Coturnix japonica: one gene and its partner. The protein of the gene in region 1 interacts with the protein of each later gene in a biochemical or structural test. Links are inferred from orthologs where the notes say so. Each region holds a gene or a part of one and is shown on either strand. Other genes may lie near its edges.

Region 1 (12,065 bases):
GGCCACTGTTCTTCTGTTGGAGTGCCCAGTGTTTCAAAAATCCTTGTCAGCTGGTCAAGATCAGAGTCTCCAGGCAAAAAAGGAACCTGGAAGAAGGAAACAGCATTACTCATTTAAATAAATTCTACACTTAATTCTAGAAAGTAACTTAAGAGTCGCTCCTCATAATTGCATTATGTATTCAACTTGAATGAAAAATGTGACTATATCTCTGTCGTACCTCAATAAACCCCATTTTACCAGAGAGAATTATCTCCTCACCTCACAATCACACCTCATTAACACACCCTTGCTTTTTGGCAGTACATATATACTTGTGAACAACTGTTTTCAAGGATGAGGCACAGAAGGAGTAACATTTCATAACAATTTCTGATCAACTCCAAGGCAACTCACTAAGAATTGCAACCACTGCTATCAGACTAGGCTAATGCACAAAGGCAAAGACAAATGTTTCACTAGGTCAATGTTGTTGTTGCTCTTTTTAGGTTTTAATAAGGAATATTAAATAATAAAATAAGTTTTGTTACTCATATGCATTAACTATATATTTCATGAGGGCTGCTCCAAAAGTAATGCCTTTTATTTTGTTATGTTGGCCCACAAAGTCAGAGGCAGATGATGATGGTATGACAGTAGAGGCTGAACCTTCCCACCAGTATTTCATTACACGTTGCTGTGTGACAGACAGCAGCAGAGGGGTACTATGACAAAATGGCATCTGACACAAACACAGATGAAGCAAGAGCTGCAACACACTCCACATGGGAAAAAAAACAGCATGCACTGACATCCATCAACACTTGCCAAACATTTATGGAGACCAAACAGCAGATGCGAACACAGTGAGGAGGGTGGATGGTGCATCTCAGCAATGATGCCATCACAACAGCTGTGGAACAGTGATTACCTCCACAGGAACAGATTTCTATAAGCATGGCATGCAGGCTCATGTTCAACACTGGGAAAAAAGCACAGCTAATAGCGGTGACTACACTGGAAAACACTGTTTTATAGCTAAGATTTTGCTCTACCAAACAATTATTGTGCTATTTGTATTAGTTGTTGTTTCCATGGAAATAAACAGGAGTCATCACTTCTGTAGCATTCCACATATGCAGCCCAAGATTATCCCTGTTCACTCAACATGGCCCAGGCAAGCCAAAAGGTTGGACACCTGTGGTCTAATCTATGTTTATGCATGCACTACTGGTGCACCCCCCACCTTCATTTCCTACTTTCATGTTTTCAGAAGAGCTACGTAACAGACTGCTTACTCCTATAAAGCCTATTTATGGATGATTACATCTGTGTATCTTATGTAGGAGTGATATTATGTAATCTTGACCATCTTCAGCTTCACTCCAGCCTGTGAACTAGACACATTTTACAACAACAACAGAAAATTTTCAGCTCATTACAAATAAATCCACAGTTGATGTACTGGTGGTAATTATTCCCAATTATTGGGAAACAATTTATGAAAAATAAGAATGTACATGCACACCTACTCTGCCAGATTTTCTAGAAATATCATAAATGAAAACTGATGAATGGCTGCGTGAAAGGCAAACACCAAGAGGACTGGAAGAGTAACTCTTTAATCACCTTCCCCAAGGCAGAGCTGTGACACTGTGTTGTACTTTTTCGCCTACCTGTTCTTTAAAGTTTCCATTAATTGTAATGATTTTGGAATCTCAGCTTATGTGAAAAATTTTGTTTCCTTACAGGTAGCAAACTTCTGGGAGGTGTTCCCTCCCTGCTCCCTTTCATTACCTCCAAGAAAGTAGCTTAACTTTTTATTGGTGACAGTACTGCAGGGCAGAAGAAACCTACAACTAAGACGCACTGAAGAAAAAATAAAAATTCTTACATTTGAAGACTTACCCTGAGAAGCAACTCAGCTAGAATACAACCAACAGCCCACATATCGACACCAACTCCATACATTCTAGATCCAAAGAGCAGTTCTGGAGATCGGTACCACCTGAACAGAAAAAATATTTTAGGAAAACATCCTGGTATCACTTGATGTCAAGTGCTGCATGCTGCAGCAGTGCAGTAATTACAAAAAAAAAAAATTAAGTGTATTTTTATTATTATTTATCTTTAATAAATGTTACTTTAAGACACAATTCCTTTCAGCTTTCAAAAACATTACTAGCAACAGACTTATAGATTAATTTTGTGCAAAATACATCCTGGCAGCAATTATTTGAAGCTGTCGGCAAAACATACACTGCATTTCAAACAACAGTTTCACTGATGCCTTTTAATTGAATGAAGATGTTAAATAGTTCCACCGTATAGTTTCAGCACTACAGTAGACAAAGGAAACCTTATCTACTCTGTCTCTCTGAAAGCTAGATTTATAGGTAAATACATGTTAATTTCATGTGCTTCAAAACCATATCATTTCACAGAACAACCATCAGGGACATAAATTCCAACCATTCTTAGAGAGACTATATTAAAAAGCACTTTATTATGCTTTCTGTTATGAAACTTTTTGCCACTATAATCATAGCACTTGAGCTAGAAATCAAACTTTAAACATGTTGTTTTAACATGGCGTATTCCACAAGGTAACATGTAATAGTTACCATCAATCTAAGAAATGTCTTACCTTGTTACTACTTGGTGTGTGTAAACTCTGTTTGGGCTTCCAAAAGACTTTGCCAAGCCAAAGTCAGCTAATTTCAAAACACCATTTTCATCTAACAACAAATTATTTGGTTTAAGATCCTGTCAGGGCAGAAAGCAAAGAAGGAATCCTGTCATTGTTAATAAAAACAGACATACAGCGAACATTTCAGCAAGAGTACAGTAACAGTATTCTAAAACCTACTCTTCTGAGTATATTTTGATTTTTTATGCTGTGATGAAGAAAACAAACAAGACATCATTTCCACATAAACGAAAATAAAAACTAATCATACATCTCAATTTGAATATTAAGCTATTTAATTTCCAGAGTTCAAAAACACAAATTTATGGTAGGTGTTTGCTTTGCTGCAGGAACATTAGTTCTGTCTTACTGCACTGTTAAAAAAAAAGAATAATATAATCCCTAATTTTAATGACAGCTGGAGATGTCATGGGATTGGTATAGTTCAATACAGCAACAGTGTTGTGGGTTGGCCACAGCCAGCAGGCACGTAACCATTGCTTGCACTGCCAACTCCTCACACCCAGGTGGAAGACAAAATTTACTTATATCCCAGCATTGTTAATTATCATTATTATTATTTTACACTGTTGTACCACTGGCAGCATTTTTCGGGGCCACCTGGGTCAGCTGCCCCACGTGCTGCATCCCTTCCCAATTTCTGGCCCACTCTAAGCAGATTTTGTTGGGTTAGAGGCAGAGTGGAAAAAGGCTTGACAATGCGCAAGCAGAGTTCAACAGATTGAAAAATGCCATTGTTTTAAGCTACAAATTCAAAACAGAGCATCATGCAAACTCCTGTGTAGAAAGTTAACTTCATCTAAGCCCGACTAGATCACAATTCTAACCAAAAGTCTCACTTGAGACTGTGAACTGAATCCTTCCGTGTGGAAAGAAAATGAATATTCTCACTGATACTTGCTGAATGTTTATGGAGGCCAAACACTGGATGTGAACACAGTGAAGAGAAGGGTGGTGTGTTTCACCAGTAGAGACAGTGGGTGATGTCTGCTGGAGCAGGTTTTTATGAATGTGGTATGTAGGCTCTTGCTCATTGCTGATGAAAACGGTGCTGACACTGTTTTGTAGCTAAGAGTTTGTCCTGCCATATAGAGCTATTGTGCTTTTTGTATTGTAGTTTCCATGGCAATTAATAGAAAGCACTACTTATGGAATGATTTACACCTATAAGCATCTACACAATAGATGTCAGTAATTCTTAACATTTCTAGTGTTGCAATTGCCACTACTCAACTGCTAGAGCAACCCTATGCATTCTAAACCAATGAAAGCCAGTTTTCAGACTAATTCAATCAAAAGTGATATTTGTTATAGGAATAAGGGCATTTAGAGCATGCTTACCCTGTGCAGAATCCACTGTTGATGTAAATACTCTAACCCTTGAAGTGTCATCAGCATATACGCTTTGATGTGAGACTGTGTTAATACAATACTAGTATCCTTGATAATAACCTGCAAGTGTTAGATTGATATGGGTAGACTGGTAAGCACAAAAACTTATAACACAAAATTATTCAACTCAAAAGTCAGTTTATACTTTAGGATAAAGCTGGAATTTGTAGCTACATATACATGTATAATGGGTTAATTTCTTCCAGAGCACAGATAATGTGAGCATGTACAGATTTGACACGACAGTCACCCAAAACGTCTTCTCAGCAGTGCTCCAAAATGAAGAATCTGCACTAAAGTATTCAATAAAAAGGTACTGGCAACAGACAAGCTAATGAAACATCCTTAAGATTCAGGCCTGCAAGCACACGCCACTGTCAAATTTAAAAGAAGGGTTCAGGAGTATGTGACTTCTAGTCAGATAATTACTCGGCATACTTGAATAATATCACACTTACTTGAGCATGTTTTACGTTACTGTGCTTAGCAATTGCATTCTGAGATCCTGGCTTATGATCAGTGGTTCTATGCTCTGACTGAAGCCCTAGAAAACTAATATAGTAAACATAATCCGTTTCTTGATAAAGGTGCTGACAGAAAGTACTTTAAAGGCATTTTCAATTGAAAATACTGTCTCACTATTCCAACTCTTTTAAAGGTATGATCTTAAATTACATAATGAAAGAATGAGACAACTTTCTAAAAAAGAAATAAAAAACACACAGTAACAGTAAGGCTATGAAAATATATTTTTCAAAATGCATTTTCAAAATGTATTTGAAGATATTGAAATTTATTGAAATTATCTTAATTTGACTTACCTCAAGGTCCGTTTCCATAAAATCAAATACTAAGCTAATATTAGATTTGTGTCCAAATGCATCTAACAGCTGTAAAACAAAATGTGCTATGATGAATGACACTCTCATAATTCCCGTTTCCTAAAATTCCATTCTACTTTAGTTTGCATGTGCATTTTCAATTTACTGGCAGAGACAAACAGGCACAGGGCTACTCACTGCCTAGACCTCATCATCAAGAGGAACCCTAATCCACCTGCTCACACCTCACACAGGTGGAATCCCTGCCACCCTCCCCAGGCAGCAGCAGGCTCAGGCACTCCCTGCAGCCAGAGAACAGCTACATTTCTGGGCAGGCCCTCTGTCTGGGTTGCCAAAATCTTTCTGGAATAAACCTGCTTTCTGATAGAGAACATGTTTAGGCCTGCAGTCCCAGAGACTTTCCAAGAGGAAAGCTAGTCTCCTGAGCACAGACTGACAACATTTACATTCATCACCACTTGATCCACATCCACAGCACTGTATGGGCAGTGTGGGCTGTGCTCACTCACTGAACCTCCCCATTCTCAGTGGGCAGCAACAATGGTTACTCACCTGGTAGCTCACCCTAGGATACTTTAAGCTTGTTATCAGGTGCAAACAATAAGGACTAGAGTTTAAACTGTGCCGCTAATGTGCCAGCTCCACCCTTGCTGACTCAGGAGCCAACCCACAAGCTGGCAGCTCCCCAGTACAAGCGCAGCCTTTTTTACTTCAGATCCCTTGTTCCAGATCCCTTTCCCAGTGCAGTTTTACCTTCTCTGAAGCCAGTCTCTGCAGCAAAAATTCACTGTACTTACACCAATAACATTCGGGTGGCTTAGTTCCTGTAACAATTTTATTTCTCTCAGCGCTGTTCTGTTGATTCCTATATTGAAAAAAATAATTAAACAGAATATAATTAATAATTTCAAGTTAAACTCCAGCAAAGAAACCTCTTATTCTGTTGTTCATTGATTACTTAATATTACAGTCCTTTTCCTCAGCACTCATGTATTTGTTAAAGCCAAGCAGACTGTCACAAATACATAGACTGCTGCAGGCAAGGTATGAATAACAACTAGAAGATATAGATTATGAAGGAAAATACACATCCCTTTGGCTTACTGGCAAGCAAACACTACTGCATTATGTTGTGCAAGATGTTTTGCCTACGCATGAGCTGAAAAACAGTGTTATTTCCATGGTGGTTTCATTCAACATATAAGATTCCAGCGAAGATTTAGATGCAAAGATCTTGATGGCTTAGTTGATACTCTGCCTATTTTAATTCCTTCTTTAGAAAAAAAAAAGAGACAACGTCCGCTTTCATGTGGACATATTTTTTATATTCAGAAAAAAAAGTATGCAAGCCAATATCATTATTCCATGCTATACTTGTGATTGGGTTCCACCTAAACAGTCATATACGCACAGTTAAACATACAGTATGAGAATGCTGTATTTCGGATGTTATTTTTTCTGTCCCTCTAGGTTGGGAAGGAATCAATCACCCAATCAGCAGAAGCAAAACAAACAAAGACAGCTTATACAGCATGAACTTGTTTTAACACTTACCATCTTTAGCTTCTGATCGATGTCCCAGTTTAATCTGAAAATAAGTGCCTCATATTATATAAGGTCAAGTCACAATCCCCAACAGTTTAGTTGTTTAATTAAAAAAAAAAAGATTAAAATAAGTTCATTAAAATACATTAACAATTCTGAATATCTTACAAGGGCTGCTCTGCAAGTAATGCCTCCTATGTTAGTGGTCTATGATGTCAGAGGCGGATGCTAGCATGGCAGTAAGAGGCTGAACCTTCCCATTACATGGTGTTGTTATCTGACAAAAGGGCAGCGGGGGGTACTCTGACAAAACGACATCTGACATGGATGCACAGAGGAAGCAAAAGTGTGTTGCTGAATTTCTCCATGCAGAAAAATGGCACCTAATAACATTCATAGAAGCTTGCTGAACATTTATGGAGATCAAACAGTAAGTGTGAGCAAAGTGAGGGAGCAGGTGATGAATTTCAGCTCAGGTGACAGCAACAGCAAGTCATCCCCACTCATACAGATTTATGGCAACACAGCACGCAGGCTTTAGCTCATTGCTAGTGAAAATGTCTAATTAACGGTGGTGTCTATGCTGAAAAATAGTTCTTGGTAACTTAGAGTGTGCTCTATCTGCTATAGTTTCCACAGAAGTAAAATGGAGGCACTGTTTTCAGTCCAGCACAATTCCACCTCTCCCAGCGTAGCACAGGACATTAAGGCTGGATACCCATGGACTACATGATCTTCTTTTCCAATGTACCAATCCTGTGAATTCTCACACACTACACACGACAGCAGTTCAACAGAAGCACCGTGCAGGACAAGGCTCCCAGTGACACCACAGCGGGGTGTTCCAACACTCACCTTTTTGATAGCAACGATCTGACCCGTGTTCTTGTCCTTTGCCTTATACACAGTAGCAAACTAAAGGGAGAGAGAGAAAGAGACGCGTGACCACGGCGGCAGGGCAGCCCACAGCCCAGAGCCAGAGTCACTACGGTGGGTGAGCGGGAGGGCGATCGGCCCGGCCAGCCACGCTCCCTCCCGCACCCAGCCGCCCCTCAGAGGGCCCCGGCGGCCACACCGCACCCACCGGCCGCTCACCTGTCCCTCCCCTAAGAAGTCTAGTTTCTCATAGCGCTTAGCACGAGCCCGCGCATCCATGGCTGCCAGCTGGGAAAAGCAGCACAGCCCTAAGGCCGGAGAACGAGGCACAACGGAAGAGCAGCACGGCCCTTTATCGGCGCCCGCCTCCAGACCCGCCTACCTGCACCATGAGCGCGCAGCCTGATGCCGTCAGCTCGGAGGCGGGTACTAGGAGGGCTGCGGCCCGGCACACGCTGTGCGATGCTGCTCGTGCCCTGATGGCTGTGTGTGATTAGCTCCGGAGCGGGCAGCTGCCCCACAGAGCTCATTAAGGAGGTTAAACCATGTCCTGGCTGAGTCTGTGATCATGAGGAACGGGGGCCTGACAAAAAGCAGAGTGGGGATCCTGAACTTCAGGAGAATTAACTTATTTAAAAGCAGCTTATTATAAACAGGACATCGTAGGACTTTTTATATAGTCTGATGATGACAGGACACAGAGAAATGGTTCTAAACTAAAAGAGGCGATATTCAGATCAGATGGTAGGGGAAAACTATCAACTCGTGTTGGGGGTTGGAAGGAGTCAAAGAACTGGAAGAGTTTGTCTGAAGAAGGTGTAAATGCCCCCATCCCTGGATGTATTCAAGGCCAGACTAGCTGGAGCCATGGGCAGCCTAATCTAATGGGTGTCAGCCCTGCCCTCAGCATGGGGCTGGAAATAGATGGTTTTTAAGGTTCCATCCAAATCAAGCCATTCTGGAGTCTCTGAGTGTGTCTATCTTGCCCATGAAATCAGCCATGAAAAGACCTGTTAACAAGGAAAATAAAGCAACTCAATTTGTTCTACTGCCAAATTCATAGAATGGCTAGTTAGAAAAATACTCTAATGATGTAGCCATCATTTGCTATTAGTCATCAACAGAAAATCTCTCATCACCAATTAATAGTGCTGTGTCAACCTTTACACCTTCACATAGGGTTTTTATTAAAGCTATCAGTATACCATTATTTATAATATTAAGGAAAAGCTTTTATGATGAACACAATACTTCTTTCTTCAACAGTGGTGATATCTGTTGGTGGCAAATATCTTCCGTACTTATTCTGGACCTCCACGCTGTAAAGCAAAAAATAGACAGAGTTAACTATTTTCCTCTAAAAGAAAGGGAAATTGATATCCAGTCTTCTTTTGCAGTTATAGATTAATAAACAAGTCCTAGATTTAACTTCATTTTTACGCTTTGATTTTTAATCTGTAATGGAACATGCTACATGTCAGAAAAATCATTGCCTGTCATTAATAGCTTATTGTGCCTGATGGAATAATATAAACAATATAAAAACCTCTGCAACCTATATTTGCAGCTGCTCCCTATCCTCTCAGTTGGAAGAAACATGACACTTAGTGACTCTGGAAAGATGAGACAAACAGCCGTAGTAGTAGCTTTGGATTTTTTTTTTACTGCCCAAATTCCAAGGGGCAAAGTAAAAGCAAAGCCCAAGAAACCCACTATAATCTTTATGAGAAATCAGAAATTCACTATTTTGACAAAGTTATTTAACAACTTGCCTTGTGGTTAAAAACAAACAAACAACAAACCAAAAACAGAGGTAAAGAAGTATGTAACTACAGGAAAGTGATTGTTTTATTTTGAATTTAAATAGTCACCCACTTGCACGCTGAAATATAGATTTCCGCTAGTACCATTATACCCTTTAAGTGTCCTCATTTAAGAAAGCTACTGTCTAGCTCTTCAAATTCTGTGCACTCTCCCTTTTTAAGTAAAAATGTTTTCATTTGAAAACTCTTCCAGAAGAAAAGCAGTTCTGCCTTGACTTTCCCATGTTATGCAGCAATTGCAAATATTTTAGGCAATACTTGCATCAAGCTTAACTAAAATGCTCCCAACTGTTAGAAGTGCAAAAATTAACTTCCTATTACATAACAGTTTCCAAACTAGTTTTTATGAATTTTGTACTTCAGTCACCTGGCAAGAGCATGAACAGCATTCTGTGCTCCCATATTCAAATTATGCACTAAACAATGGTTATAAAACAAGAAGGGAATATGCTTAGTGTAGGCTCTACCTATCACTGCCTTTCTACCTTTGCTTTAAATATGGATCCTACAGTGACAACACAAGCTACTAATTAGTAAGAGCTGTGAACCTCCTTCATCAAGGATTTGTTGTTTTGGTACTGCGTATCAACACTGCAAAAGCTCTTCTTAACAAAAATTACAATCTATTATCTCATGTGCAACTTTTAAGGACCTGCAGAACTACAAAGAAGGTTGGGTAAATAAGAGAACACACAACAGTTACTGAGACTTACTTGAATATATTCAATCTCTTCAGCTGACATAAGTTTCCTTCTGTATTTTTGAGGTAAGATTCTTGCTAATTCAGAAGTGTCTGGTGCACCATGTGCCCTACTAGCAGGTGAAATATTTTGAAAGGCTTCATTTGAAGCATGAGGTGACGGAACACTTGCTTGTAGAGATTCCTGTACTGAAACCCAGATTGAAAAACAATGTAAAGAAATACAACAAGATTGTACAGTTAATTAGATGAGTGGCAAATAAGCCACTGACAATTAGTTGTGTCCTAACATATATTAATATACTCAACTGACTCAACTTGTTTTTACTGTTACTAAATACATCAAAAGCACAATGAAAATATTCTGAAATTAAAAGATAGTATATTCAAGTGGAAGAAATATTAACACGGAAAGAAAAATGAAATCAGTATATGTCCTAACAAAGGCTTTTTCTCCTGTGGGAAGCTTTCCTTGCAGAGAAAGTATGAGGTATCATAATTGTGTTGTGGAGAGGGTAATGCAGAATGACAGTTCAGATGAATAACCAAGGTCCACTGAGGTGATGCTTTTGTCTACTTGCAATTGTAAAGGTGAAAAAGAGGCAGAGGCTTACAGAAAGGTGAACATCACAACAATGACATACACGTGCAACTCTGTACCTGTTTCTAATATTATACAGCAGGGCAGTGTAGTGTATCAAATTATGTCAGTAATGTGCAAAATGAGGATCACATATTGAGCATGAGCAACCAAACTGTTAATGAGATGTAGTGACCAAGTAGCAGGACTGAAAAGTATCAGACCTAGCACTGTAGTTGCTTTAGCTCATATACTGTCTGTTTGGTGTTTTTTTTTCCTCCCCTGTTTGACAGCATAACCCAATAGTAATACCATAAAATAACTTGGCTGGCCTTTGAAACATAGAGTTTCTAACAGCACAGCCTTGATCTGCAACATTGTTTGGCTATGTCCAAGCAGCAGTCTGGTATGGTGAAACACAGTTACTGCCATAGACTTCCAGCAAATGGAAAAAAAAAATACAAGAAAAATACAAGAAAAAATGTATAATGGCAAAATTCTTCAGATGCAGAGCTAAACAAGATGTAAGTAACGTGCTTTTTATGCCTCCGAGAAAGCAGTTGGCATGAGAGGTGGTGTGAGTGACAAAGTTATCCCCCAAAATAGTTCCTGACTAGTTCACAGGTATGGCAGAAGTGGCACTGATAGGCACTGTAGGTACTTTGTAATGCTAATGGATAAACTAATAGAAATAAAAGAATATTTAGATGTCTAAGCAAGCCTTCCAGGAGATAATTCTGGTGCTGAAAACTTTGATGTATCAGAAAAAAAAAACCAAAAAAACCCAAAAAAGATAAAAATCAGTAGTGAGCTAAAAAAGGTCAAAACAACCATAAATTCTGAACGAATGAGAGCAGTGTAAGACATCTTTGTAAGATGCTTGCTATTTTAGTAGGACACTCGCTATTTCAGTTTCAAATGCTTTATTGACTCCAAAGAAAAACAGCATACAGCTTACATAGCTGTGATGTCTAAATGTAACTGTACTGGAGATGCTATAAATGTCAACGTAACTATAGGTATAGATTGATGTCTCAAAGATGGCCATGAAAATATATATATTTTCTCCCCTCAGCAGTAATTAGTAAGACCAGGAAATGTTTATTGAAATGTACAGTGGGGTAGCTCTGCTACCTGCAACCAAGGTTTTCAATACCACAAACATTAAATACCACAAAAATCAAGAAAAGATGGGATGAGGAAAATGTAACAGCATTTCTGTAATCACTGAATGCTTAAAGCTGCTTTAAACTGACCTTGACACAACCACTTCAGAAGAATATGACCATGTGCAGAGAAGAGACTTTGTGTGAGTAGGAAATCTTAAAGAATCTTGTCTAACCAAGAAACAGATGCAAGAAATAGACATGTATTATGTCTATTCCGCCTGTTGTAGAGGAGACACCACAGTGACACTGTAGAGATGCAATGAGGAAGGCTAAGGCCCTCTTGGAATTAAACCTTGCAAAGGAGGAAAAGGATAACAAGAAAGGTTTTTTTAAGTATGTCAACAGTAAAAGGAAGACTAGGGAAAATGTGGGTCCCCTACTAAATGAGATGGGTGCCTTGGTAACAGCAGATGCTGAGAAGGCAGAGATTCTGAATGCCTTCTTTGCTT
Region 2 (12,191 bases), on another chromosome or scaffold:
AGCCATGTAGCTGCCACGTCAACAGTCCTCTCGTTAATTCTACTTCTGAAGAACATAACTACATTTCTGTTAGGACTATGCGACATACCTCCTGTTCCACTGTTGATTTTCACATCATGGGACAGTCCTTCCTTGTAAGATGCTGCATCAGAAAGGCACCTCACGTCAAAGTCCTGCAGAAACGCTACAGGGGCATTTCCAGCACACTGCCCTGCCAGGGACGGCTGCAGGTAGTTGAACAGAAACGTATGTGAGCCTTAAAGGCAAGGAAGGGGAGGGGTGGGCAGGGGATGAGGAAAGATAATTATTGTTATTAACAATGATTTTGTGCTTGGTGAAAAATATATTCCACCAGTTCATAAGAGCAAGTTACAGAATCTGGTTACAAACACAAAAGAATGTGATAAATGGAGAACTTCAACTAGCCAAGAGGAATCAGAAGCTCCTAAATATGGAGCAATTACCTGAGGGATGGTAAAATACTCGTCATCTTCTGTCATAATTGGATCTCCTGCTCTGTAACCAGTGAACACTTTCCCAGGAGAAGCCTGTACAGGGATCCTAAATGGACGAACTCTGGGTGCAGAACTTCTGGGTGCAGAACTGCAAATAAGTTCAAAAATGAAACAATTCTTTACTCCTCACATTACATGGTGAATTAAATATCTGCCTTCCAGTCCCGTGCTCTCAAAGTACCAATTATATTTCTCCATTTACATTTAAAGTGATCGATTTATAATTTCAAAATAACTTTCACTGTAAAAAATACATGCTACAGTTTCAATGTAATGTCTAAATTGTGTATTGAGGAAAGAAATATTTTCAGACTTACACAGAGCCATCATAAAAATAGCCAAGAAATGGTGTATTGCTAAGAGAAGACTGTATGCAAAGGAAGGGAAACCAATCAGGAGTATATTCTGTTGTCTGTGTGGAGCACAGCTGATCAAAAGGTGGGTTTACATCCCCACCAAACACTCCAGTGAAACACGATCCATTGAATAACTGCTTCAAGTCTGGTGTACACTCCTGGAAGGGAAAAGAACACCTTAATGCCATAATTGCACCACCACGGCCTCTAGTGCTGTATTTGCAGATAACCAAGCCAGCCCTGTAGACAGATGTCATATTTACTATTAGAAATACCACAAAACCCAGGCAGACCCTATTTCTACTTTGAAATACTCAGTAATTCTCCCTCCAGACAACAGAAGGAACATAGAAATTCTAAAACCATTTCATCAAAGTTTAATATGAAATAAGTACCGGATCACAGCAACAACGAACATCACAAGCTCCATCTGTCAAGTCACAAGGACATGAGCCCAAGGGCTGAAACACCTGGTTAGGGATGACAGACATGATTTCTGTAAGAGAATTACAAGAAAAGAAGAGAAAATTCAGGTCATACAGACTGGAATCCCAAGAAGCAGACAACATGCATTACAGCCAATCCCACCTGCATATAAATCCTTAAATGCTAGAGAAATTTAATCTCTCATTGCTGTCCAATTCCCAATTTTACTTTTCTTTTTTCTGGTACAGAAAGGGGAAGTAAATACCATTTCTTCCTCAGGATATCCAAGTACTTACCTGACACATTTCCCATAAAGGAAGAGTTGGCATATATTTCAGCTTGAATTATGAGACGTGCCAGCATCGCCGAACCACTGCAAGCTAAAACCTGAACTGTTTCCACCACACAGAGAGGTGCTGTGCAGCAGTCGGTGGCATTGGGCAAACATAACTGGAGATTTCTAGTGAAGGTTACAGTCACTTTGGATGAACCCTGCAAAACACAAAATGATGGATTCAACAGCTTGTACCAAATTACTGTTCTTTGTATCATCACCTGCCGGGAAGCACAGGCAGTTCGGGAAAGGAGAAAGACAAGAAACCAGCATCAAAGCTGCACCTTAGCAACTTCCAACATGGGCATCCAGATGATGGGACATAACAAAGGCAAAAAGGGAAGGCACTCTAACTGAGCTGTCAGTAAACTAATATTACATTAGCACTTCATCAGCCTTTAATATATGATTGCTCAAGCTTTTCTATCTTAGGGCAGAAGCAGTGTTTTACATACCACACCAGCTGTTACACTCAATTCCCAGTCACCAGCTCTTTCATTTCCACCGCAGTTTGGAAGGAGCAAATTTCCTGTATCAAAATTAAAACATAACAAACACATATATATATTATTAATATATATTATATATATATATGTATGTTATCTGTTTCACTGTCACTTCAAACTTCTCATGTGGGAATGGGGCACCAGAGGGACCCTCCCAACTCCAACAGTTCTGTGATGATTCTTTGAACTGCACTGCAGTTATTTGGGTAATTGTAATGACAACAACAACAAAAAAAAGTTAAGAATTCAAATATATTTATTATTTTTCGAAATAGCGGGTAGATAAATAAAGTGTTCTTACCTGTCTCTTTATCGATAGCATCTAAAATAATGGAAAACGTAACTCCTGAAGAATCTCCAAGAAAAAACGAATTGACTCTTAGCCCAGACATGTGGATAAAGGAAGGCTGAAAAACTGGGGGGGAAGAGAAAGTTTAGAAAAGAATCACATTGTAACACAGAAACCCTCAAAGCGCCGCATCTGGGAGGCACACCAGGCCGAGCCCCCTCAGCCCGCACAGGCTGCTGCGGCCCTCTCCCCTCTCATCCCTTCCTTCCCCTTCTCTTCTCCTCCCCTCGCCCCCTCCCACACACCGGGCTGCCCCGCACACAGAGCCGCCAGCAGCAGCGCCCCGAGCCCGGCGGCCGCCATAGCGTCACTGAGCGCCGCCATCTTGAGGCGGCACTGCTGCCACGGCAACCAGGAGGGCGGGAATCACCCGCCGTGCCACAGACCGCCTCACAAACACCAACAGGCCGAACAGCATCCATGTCTGTAAAAAGAACTGCTTTTATTCCAAAAGGTGTTGTAAGAACAGAATTATAGATACAACTTGCAAACAAAGTGGCTCCTGGCGACGAGAACGGGAGCTGATGACAACAACCGCCCTGACCGAAGCCAGATGCACGCCTGGACATGGCACACATAGCTGCTACTCAAATACAAAACACACTGATCTGAAACCTTTCCAGTTTCAAAGCACAGCACTGAAGACTGACCACCTCATGGACATTTACTGATGTCATTTTACAGACATAAACCCCTTCTCACACATAAATGTGGTCTTCTGGTCAAAATTCCCCTGGGAAGGATACCTCCATATTACTGCTCCAGTTACTGAGGAGCAGCTATCCAAGAGAGCCAAAAAGCATAAAGAGAATAAAAACATATGACACAGTGCGTGTGCACGTGCCAAGGAATGAACACCCTCGACAGGAAGGTGTGTTCTAAGCAATCTTTAAACATTTGGCTTTCTTCTTCCGAAGCTGACCCCATTTCAGTGCCCAGACAGACACTGAAAGCTCACAGAACACTGAGGTCCTTCAATAGCGGTGCTGAGGTTCAGTCCCTACACATCAGCAGTGGTGACAGCTCACCTCTGCACCAACATGTGATTAAAAACAACCAAAACTTTATTGTCTTGGAAAATAACTTGGAAGTTTGAAGTTGCAGCAGCAAGAATGCTTCCAAATTTGCAAGACCTGCATCTTAACAACCTGTAACTTCTGGTTCTAATTACAATGAATAAACAGTATTTAAGACAGCACAGATTACCTGCTAACACAGTGATTTGTTACTACATAGAAAAAATGGCTTAAATACTTTAAGAAAAAAAGCAGTAAGACTGCATACAGTTCTCTTTCATATCCTGTAAAAAGTGTCAACAATTGTTCAAGTACATCCCCCTTCATGGAATAACAGGAGCAGTAACGGTGTGTTTAAGTTGCATCGTTAGACAGCTAACTTTAATTTCTTCTTCTTAGCTTTCATGACAGGCGGCAGTGATATTTTGAAGGCAGTCCTGAAATGACATAAAAAGGAACTGTCAGATACAACAAATGCATTCTCAGACCCACTCCTGAAATAAGAAGGAAAACTTACTCGCATGTACTGCAAATTGGACTGAAGTTGCAGAATACTGGAAAATAAAAGGATTGGCTGTCACTAATAATAGCTCATTTGACATGTAGGAAGTTCAACTCGTATTTATAAACTTACTTGACAAGCACACCGAGCATACATAACCAATCTCAATGAGATTTCGATGACAGAAACACGCTGCTCTGTAGTCAACATGAACGGGAGGTGGAAGCACAAGCTGTGATCTTTGCTCTTGATCAGGGAGAAATACCCACTATATAAACAGGGAAAAAAATAGTGTGGAAATGGCTGTATCATCGTGTCAGTGAAGTCAGTAAGATTTCACATCTGACACAGGAAAAAGCAAGTGAAGACATACCAACAAATACTGCAGGAGGGATGGCAGGTGGGGCACTTTAAGGTATATGCCGCCTGTAATGTCACAAGCCTGGAATGCAGAGAGAATGATCAGATAGCTCAGTCTTAACAGGAAGGCAATGGTTTCTACTAGCCAAGGAAGAAGAACAAAGCAATAATAATTTGTTACAGAATAGGAGGGTACAAAAAGACTGAGAAAAAGAGACAGTGTTTCACCAACATAAAATACCTAGGCCTTGTCTCATAGAAGGGTGTAATAATGTCTCTTTTTCTGGTTTGAAAAAGTTGAGAGTGCTTTAAAACACATCAAACTATCTAGCATCAAGTATCTATGAATTAAAGCAAACAGCAAGTAAGAATAGGAAGCTTGTACCTGTTGTAGAAGGCCTGAATCAGAGTCCAAGACACAAGCATCAATCAAAATACTCTGCAAGTAAAGAGACCCACAAAAAAAGGAGTTCAGCTAGGAACAATGTAACCTCATCCATGTTTTACAGCTGCAGGACCACCACAGCAATAAGAAAGCTCATTCCCTTTGTCAGAACAAACATCCAGAATTCTAACACCTCCCTTCTAATGTATGGCAATAAAAGAACTATCAGCAAAGGTATCCTGTACACAGCACCTGCAAGGCGGGACAGAAGGCTACCATCCGTTCTTTCACAGCAATCTCTTATTAGTCCAGCAAACCCTTCACGTTAAGATGTAGCAGTAGGATCTGACTTTTAACCTCGGTTACCTTTCACTCTTGGCATGACAGTCTTCACTCCAGGGATTCTTTAACCAGATCACAGCCATAATGTAAATGAACCATTTTTTTTCACTCTTTATATGCTAATAAAAGATAAGATATATCAAATAGCTTCACCTGTTTCTGTGCTGCAAAGATCACGTTCATGAAATTCATATATTGTAATGCACTGTCTTCTGCAGCTTTTATGACCTAAATAAAACAATAGAGACTTGTTAGCCCATATAGCATTGATGTATTTTAAGGCTAATAGTAGACTAACAACAAAGCTCTTACCAAAATCCTTGATTTCATTTCCTGATTGGCTGATTAGCAAAAAGAAAATAAAAGCACATGAGTACATCCATTCCCTATAGTTGTCCCTACAGTTCTACGATACCTGACATTTTAACTAAGGTAAATCCAATCAATCTAACATCCAAAATGACAGATCTAATGTCTCAGACAATGTGAATGTAAATACTGATAGTCCCAGTGGTATAGAAATACATGTAGAATTATCTGTAGAATAATTCAGACGTTACGAAAGCGGGCCTATGTCATTTATTGCCCCAAAGCAATTAGGTATATTAGGTATATAGGTTCAAATACTCGTGAAAGCACTCTAAAGGCATTACCTTTCACCTCTTTGCTCATCTTGTTAATATCTACATCAGACAACATCAAGGAATCCACACTCTGTTCATGGAAGCACCAGCAGCACCCATGCTATGTACTCACTACCTCAAACAACACACGTTGTTTGATCCACAATTATAAGGCAAATGTTTCAGTTTTGAAAATTATTATAGAATGCACTGATAGTCAAGACTGTATTGAAGGATAATTAGTATGACAAGAAACAGACAAAAGCCTTTAAAAGTTCTGCCATCAAAAGGATACAACAAAGTGCTTTGGCAAGAGACCCTGCTAGGAGAGTCTCTGTTTGCTGGCCCATCATGTCAGCTGCAAAGCAAATTACACAGATTACTCTGATACACAAAATCATTCACTCAGCCTGATCTCACTGAGTGCTACAGTTCAATCTTCGCCATGTTGAATCACTGCAGAGTCACCCAATATCAGCCATAAAAACTCACCTACTCTAAACATATTAAAATCCAAATGAACCAAAGAAATTCCTGCAACTCCCAGAGAACATTTTGCAGTTCTGTGTTATGAAACCCAGAATTTTTATTCCCTTACTTTTCGTCATGAGGTCTTTAATCTCTTCTGCAATTGCATCATTGATTGCAGTTAACAATTCATATTTTCCATCCTTGCTGCCAGAACAATTGGATTCCACGGAGTTACCACCATCTCCAAGGAGATCCGCAGAAGCCCAACGCTTCCCAGGGTACAAGAAACGGCTAAAAGAGAGGAAGAACAAAGTGTTACGGTTTGCTTTTCAGCCTGTAAGGAAGAAATGACATCAGCTGACCACTCATAGACAGCGATATTTTGAAGTAAAACTCCAAATAACTTTAATACTTCAGGCATTAAATAGGGTTCATAAGGCAGGAAATTGTTGTGACACAAATGGTTCACCTCCCTCCTTTCAATACGTTGATGCATTGACTCTGTCTTGCTTTCCATAAGGCATTAAAACAGACCATTTCTTTCTCTACCAGGAGGCAGGGAGTGGACAACACGTCACACTCATGGTGGTGAGCGGCTGCCGTACCTTTCCTGCGTGTGACTGGCCATCACGGCCAGTTTGTTGGTGCGGCTCATGAACAGGTGGGAGTTCCCCAGCACCATCGCTGCGTCCACACATTTCGACAGGGTGAACTGCCAAGGGAAAGAATAATTCAGCAGGACAGCACCTACAGGAACCAACCGCAGAACTGCACTCAGAACTAGAAGGTGCAGGGCTTCCTTTCTAACGGGAGGCATCAGCTGAGCAAAGCTCTGACAAATGCATAACTGTAGAACCAGAGAATCATTTGGAAGGGACCTTTAAAGGTCATGCAGTCCTATTGCCTGCAGTGCTCAGGGACACCCACAGCTCCATCAGTGCTCACAGCCCCATCCCCTGGCTGTGGGTGTCTGCAGGGATGAGGCACCTCCACCTCCCCGTGCACCCTGTGCCGGTTTGATGATACTTTTCACGTTTCCCACCGATGTTTCCTATAAAAGCGGCCCCGGGACGCACCTCAGCCTCCCCCTGCGCCCGCTTCCCCCACCAGATGGGGTTGGTGTCGATGACGATGACCAGCAGGCTCAGCTCCTCGTCTGCAAAACACACAGCGGGTCACTGCAGGGGGCCGGGAGCTGCCGGAGCCGCGGGGGCTGAGCTGAGCTGAGCTGAGCTGAGCTGGACTCGGCCCGGTTCATCCCCCCCCCGTCCCGACCCCCTCGGCCGGCTCCTCTCACCCGCTCCCATCCCGCCGCTGGTGTCGCCCGCTGGTGTCGTCATACCGCACATCATCGCATTGCGCCGCATGGCACCGAGCAGGGCGGGGGCAGCCATGAGCACGGACGGTAATGTGTCTCTATGGAGGGTGTTGTGGGGGCCGGGCTGAGCCGAGTGTGAGGCGGCTCTTTGCCTTTCAGACCTGATCGAGACCTTCAGGGCGCAGCTGAGGGATGACCCCGACGTCGCCTCGGCGGTGGCCGCCATCCGCGCGCTGCTGGGCTTCCTGCGGCAGGACCGAGGTGGGCGCCCATCCCCGGCGGCCGGACACGAAGCGATGTTGGCCCGGCCCCGATTGATCCCCCGCTGTGCCCTGTCTCCATAGGAGAGACCATCCAGGGCCTGCGGAGCAGCCTGCGCGATGCCATCGACACGCTGTCGCGGGTGGACTCGTCCGTGGCCGTCAACTCCGGCGGGGAGCTGTTCCTGCGCTTCATCAGCCTCACGTCGCTCGAGTACTCGGTAAGGAGCGGGCTCCTGCCGGCCCATCTGCTGCAGGGCAGCCGGCAGCAGCGCTGTGTCCTTTCCAGGACTACTCCAAGTGCAAAGAAATCATGATCGAGCGCGGGGAGATCTTCCTCAGGAAGGTTTCTCTGTCCAGGAACAAAATCGCCAAACTGTGTCATCCCTTCATCAGAGACGGAGCTGTAAGTACAACAAGGAGCTGTAAGTACAACAAGGGCTGCTCGTGTCCTGGCTCTGCTGCCTGCGCTGCTGGGAAAGCAGGGGGGTGGTGTTATTATTCCTGCCCATCTCACAGCGTGGCATCCTCTCCTAAAATCTGTAAATACGAGCAACATCATAGAATTATGGAGTCATTTCAGTTGGAAGAGACTCTTATACCTCATGTAGTCCCACTGCCTGCAGTGCTCAGGGACACCCACAGCTCCATCAGTGCTCACAGCCCCACCCCCTGACCATGGCTGTCTGCAGGGATGGGGCACCTCCACCTCTCTGGGCACCCTGTGCCAGTGCTTCACTACCATCATAACTAACTTCTTCCTTGTAACCCATCTAAATTGTCCCTCTTTTAGTTTGAGACCATAACACCAATGGACACTGACAGAAGTAAAAGCCCTGTTCATCCTAACTGAAATGAAGGTTTTAAAGCTCAGTAAGAAGTAACATTTAATCTCTTTTGACAGAGGATATTGACACACGCCTACTCACGAGTGGTCCTCAGGGTGCTAGAAGCAGCTGTTGAGTCAAAGAAGCGATTCAGCGTTTATGTTACTGAATCACAGCCAGACCAAGCAGGGCGAGTATTCATTAACTTGTGCTTCATCTTGGCTAAGAGGATAAACTACAGCCAGCATCAATTCTGTCATAACTTCAAAGCTGCTGGCCTTGTAGGAACATAGATAGTCATGGGTTTCATTCTTTCAGACATTGTTTTTCTATTATCATCTTTAAAGAAAGACTTTTAAGCTTCATTTTTATATAACAGGCAAAAAATGGCAAAAGCCCTGAGGAAACTGAACATTCCTGTGACTGTGATACTGGATGCTGCAGTTGGGTGAGTCTGATCATTAAATCTTAACGTTCATCCCAATTTTAACATTGTTCCATTTAAGTTCCATAGGAGGTTGTTCTAAACACAGGAATTGTTACTTCATTTGTCATAGTCATCAAACAAGCTGAACAAGTGACACTTTAGGTGCATGATTAACCAAATACGCCTGCTGCAGAACTTGTACCTTGATGTTTGCCTATAAGGTCTGACTCCATCAACCTATGCGTGGAGCCTGGGGATATGTGAAGGAGCTGCTGTACTAAAGAAAACTACTTTGATTTTTCTTTCTAAATGTTGTGTTTGTTTTCAATCTAAATGCTAAATTCTAGCATATTTTGCCATGTAATGACTACAGTTGATGGATTTCTCCCATCGCTTACACAGTTGTCAAGGTCAGACATGGCTTGTACCATTCCTGCTGAGCAAGCAGGCGAAAGCTCATTCCAAGGATGTCGAACAACACAGTCTTACTTAACTAACAGCAGCTAAAACTAGTTTAGAAAAGTGAGACTGTTGGAATTCCTTATCTCTGTTCTGTTCAATGAGTCACGTTATTTGCTAAGACTTGGATCTCTTCCCCTTCTTCAACAGCTACATTATGGAGAAAGTGGACTTGGTCTTAGTTGGTGCTGAAGGTGTAGTAGAAAGCGGAGGCATTATTAACAAGGTAAAAGAGAACGCATTGCATCAATCTGGAAACTCTATTCAAATATTCTTGGATATCAATCAGTGAAAGTCTATTATTGGAAACATGGCAATATTAAGTCATGCTAGCATGGAATCTGCACATTATTTTCTGTGTCTCCACAGATTGGCACCAATCAGATTGCTGTGTGTGCCAAAGCTCAGAACAAGCCGTTCTATGTGGTGGCAGAAAGTTTCAAGTTTGTAAGACTCTTCCCTCTAAACCAGCAGGATGTCCCAGATAAGTTTAAGGTAAGAGAAATACAGGTTGCTTCCTGGCAAACTAAGATCCACTTACTTGTTTGTGAGCAATTTTCTTCTAAGCACATCTTCATTTGTTTGGATCTCTCTACTGTAGTTAACTTGACACAGTACAGAGTTGGTCCATGTTCAAGTCAGACCTCCAACATCCACAATTTGTCCTAATACTCTTGTTGAGTTACCAAAGCAATTCCTTTGGGGCACGGGAGTAGCTGCAGGCAAGAAACAGCTACATCGAGACACTTCAGAACTATAAGTTGTATGGTGGATAGAAGGTAAAACACTCGAGACCAAGGTGGCAGCACATGCCTCATTTTAAAGCAGTTGACTTCCCTCCATTTTACCACAGATATCTGCTCAAGATTATAGCACTGCCCCAGCCCAAGAGAGATTTTAGCTCGCAGCTGTGTAATAATTAACGGTCTTGTTTCCTTCTAGTACAAAGCAGACACGCTGAAAACAAGTCAGAATCTAACAGAGGAACATCCCTGGATTGACTACACGTCACCATCACTTATCACGTTACTGTTTACAGACCTTGGTGTGTTAACTCCATCAGCTGTCAGCGACGAACTCATTAAACTGTATCTGTAACTCAATGGACATGGTGTGCAATGTGTACCATCCTCAGTGACTGTCACAGCTGTAAGAGCCTGGGAGGTGACACAAGTGGGGTGGACAAGGTGAGGAGGCAGCATTACAAGGATTCATGTCATTATCAACCTTCAGTTTAAGGCATTACCTGTGGATGAACCACTGTTTAGGAAAAAAAAATGGAAGTTGTTACAGCTTCTGAATTCCTTAAATGAATTATTGGAGAAGAGGGTCAAGTATTTTAGTACTGTAAAATAAAGTAACTTATGGTGCATTCAGCCTCATTCCATAACATGCTGTCATTCACTGATCTGTGAACAAAAAGCCCTGAAATAAATGCACCGAGGGAAAGCTGTAGCTCCAGCCAAATGACACAAGGGCAGTGCCTTTAGCTTTGTTCTCAACTGCAGTTCTTAACTATGCTTATGGAAACCAAGTTTCTTGATGAAGAAATTAAACCCATTCTGTTCTCTGCATCGTTATTTTGTTATAAAAATACAGTTTTATTGGAATAGGGAGTATCTTAATGTGAAAGCCCAGTTAGAATGAAACCTTCAGTCTCAGTCAGCAGCAGCTTCTCTGAATTTACTCTGGCTTCCTGTTAGTCTCTTCTCAAATTCTTCTTCACTAATTTTCCCCTTCTTTAATCTTTTCAAGAGTCTCGTGTCATTCAGCAACTCTTCCATGTCCTCATCTTCCATATCAGAGCCCTGTTAGCCATTGAAATACAACAGATTACACACGACACCAAAGGCTTCATCTCTAGACAGCTGAACACAACAGAATTTTACAACCTAGATTTTGCCAGCAGCATCCAAACAGGAAATTATACTCAAATTCTACCACCAATCTATCAAATTCACTTGTTGAAACACAAAAAAAAGCAACAACAAATAAGAACTATCCAGTGAAGTGCTGCTATATCCCCTACAATCCATGCAGCCTATGAACCTATGCTGGCAGCAATTCACCATCACCTGAGCGATGAGAAATTGTTGCAACATTTGGTTTTAAAAAGCTTTTTTTCCTATGCTTTGCCTGGCAGACGTAGAAGGCTTATTTTCAATAAGTAACCCTGCAGTGTGTCTCACTTCTGTCACACTAAAATCCCGTTGCTCCCTGACTTTTGCAAGTACATTTAGTAACAACACGCAGCTTAAGAGACTGGCATGGTTTACCTCTTCACGCTTCCTTTTAGCTGTTGCTTTCCTCTTCTTCTCCCTTTTGGCTTTCTGCTTTGACCAGGATTTGTTTTTTATGAATTTCTTTTTTCCTCCATTTTCTTCTCTTTCCTTTCTTTGTTGTTCAAGTTGCTTTTGTCTCTGCTTTTCTCTGTTTTTATCTTTAAATGGAATGGAGTCCGTATTAATAGTGACTGGAGTAAAATCTGGAAAACATTTTCCTCTTAGCTCAGGCATTTTCGGCATCTTTAACAAGGCGAAGCCTTTAGCAAGACTAGCAAAGTCCAGGTCTGTTGAGATAAAGATTATAAAGTCAGTTTCCTGCTGGATAAAAAGTGAACTTACAAAATTCCAGGCAAAAAAGATGATCCTGAAATTAGTATTTAATAGCAATGACAATATGAGGTCACATTTACACTTAGGTTTGCTTCAGTCA

The links.
Region 2: the proteins of CDK7 (region 1) and GTF2H3 form a complex in vitro, tested with the Homo sapiens proteins (2 studies listed by BioGRID). The link is inferred for Coturnix japonica from reciprocal best matches to the Homo sapiens genes CDK7 and GTF2H3.

The regions. Positions count from the first base shown.
Region 1 is NC_029547.1:13,172,268-13,184,332, forward strand, and holds the start of CDK7 (cyclin-dependent kinase 7), read right to left. Parts: upstream 7,721-12,065; 5' UTR 7,624-7,720; coding exon 7,564-7,623; intron 7,384-7,563; coding exon 7,324-7,383; intron 6,512-7,323; coding exon 6,478-6,511; intron 5,789-6,477; coding exon 5,721-5,788; intron 4,972-5,720; coding exon 4,903-4,971; intron 4,142-4,902; coding exon 4,031-4,141; intron 2,746-4,030; coding exon 2,627-2,745; intron 1,988-2,626; coding exon 1,888-1,987; intron 87-1,887; coding exon 1-86. Other genes in the region: MRPS36 (28S ribosomal protein S36, mitochondrial), read right to left, coding at 8,646-8,663, 9,881-10,056. UniProt on the Homo sapiens protein: Serine/threonine kinase involved in cell cycle control and in RNA polymerase II-mediated RNA transcription. Cyclin-dependent kinases (CDKs) are activated by the binding to a cyclin and mediate the progression through the cell cycle.
Region 2 is NC_029530.1:4,198,605-4,210,795, forward strand, and holds GTF2H3 (general transcription factor IIH subunit 3), read right to left. Parts: upstream 7,580-12,191; coding exon 7,483-7,579; intron 7,342-7,482; coding exon 7,262-7,341; intron 6,898-7,261; coding exon 6,791-6,897; intron 6,477-6,790; coding exon 6,313-6,476; intron 6,073-6,312; coding exon 6,010-6,072; intron 5,775-6,009; coding exon 5,745-5,774; intron 5,433-5,744; coding exon 5,404-5,432; intron 5,320-5,403; coding exon 5,245-5,319; intron 4,804-5,244; coding exon 4,750-4,803; intron 4,447-4,749; coding exon 4,378-4,446; intron 4,273-4,377; coding exon 4,137-4,272; intron 4,057-4,136; coding exon 4,020-4,056; intron 3,940-4,019; coding exon 3,870-3,939; 3' UTR 2,910-3,869; downstream 1-2,909. Other genes in the region: TCTN2 (tectonic-2), read right to left, coding at 89-224, 465-603, 833-1,029, 1,267-1,367, 1,594-1,789, 2,087-2,160, 2,439-2,552, 2,732-2,810; EIF2B1 (translation initiation factor eIF-2B subunit alpha), read left to right, coding at 7,551-7,590, 7,663-7,764, 7,848-7,984, 8,053-8,169, 8,668-8,780, 8,970-9,038, 9,627-9,702, 9,846-9,971 and 1 more; ATP-dependent RNA helicase DDX55, read right to left, coding at 11,135-11,284, 11,753-12,045. UniProt on the Homo sapiens protein: Component of the general transcription and DNA repair factor IIH (TFIIH) core complex, which is involved in general and transcription-coupled nucleotide excision repair (NER) of damaged DNA and, when complexed to CAK, in RNA transcription by RNA polymerase II.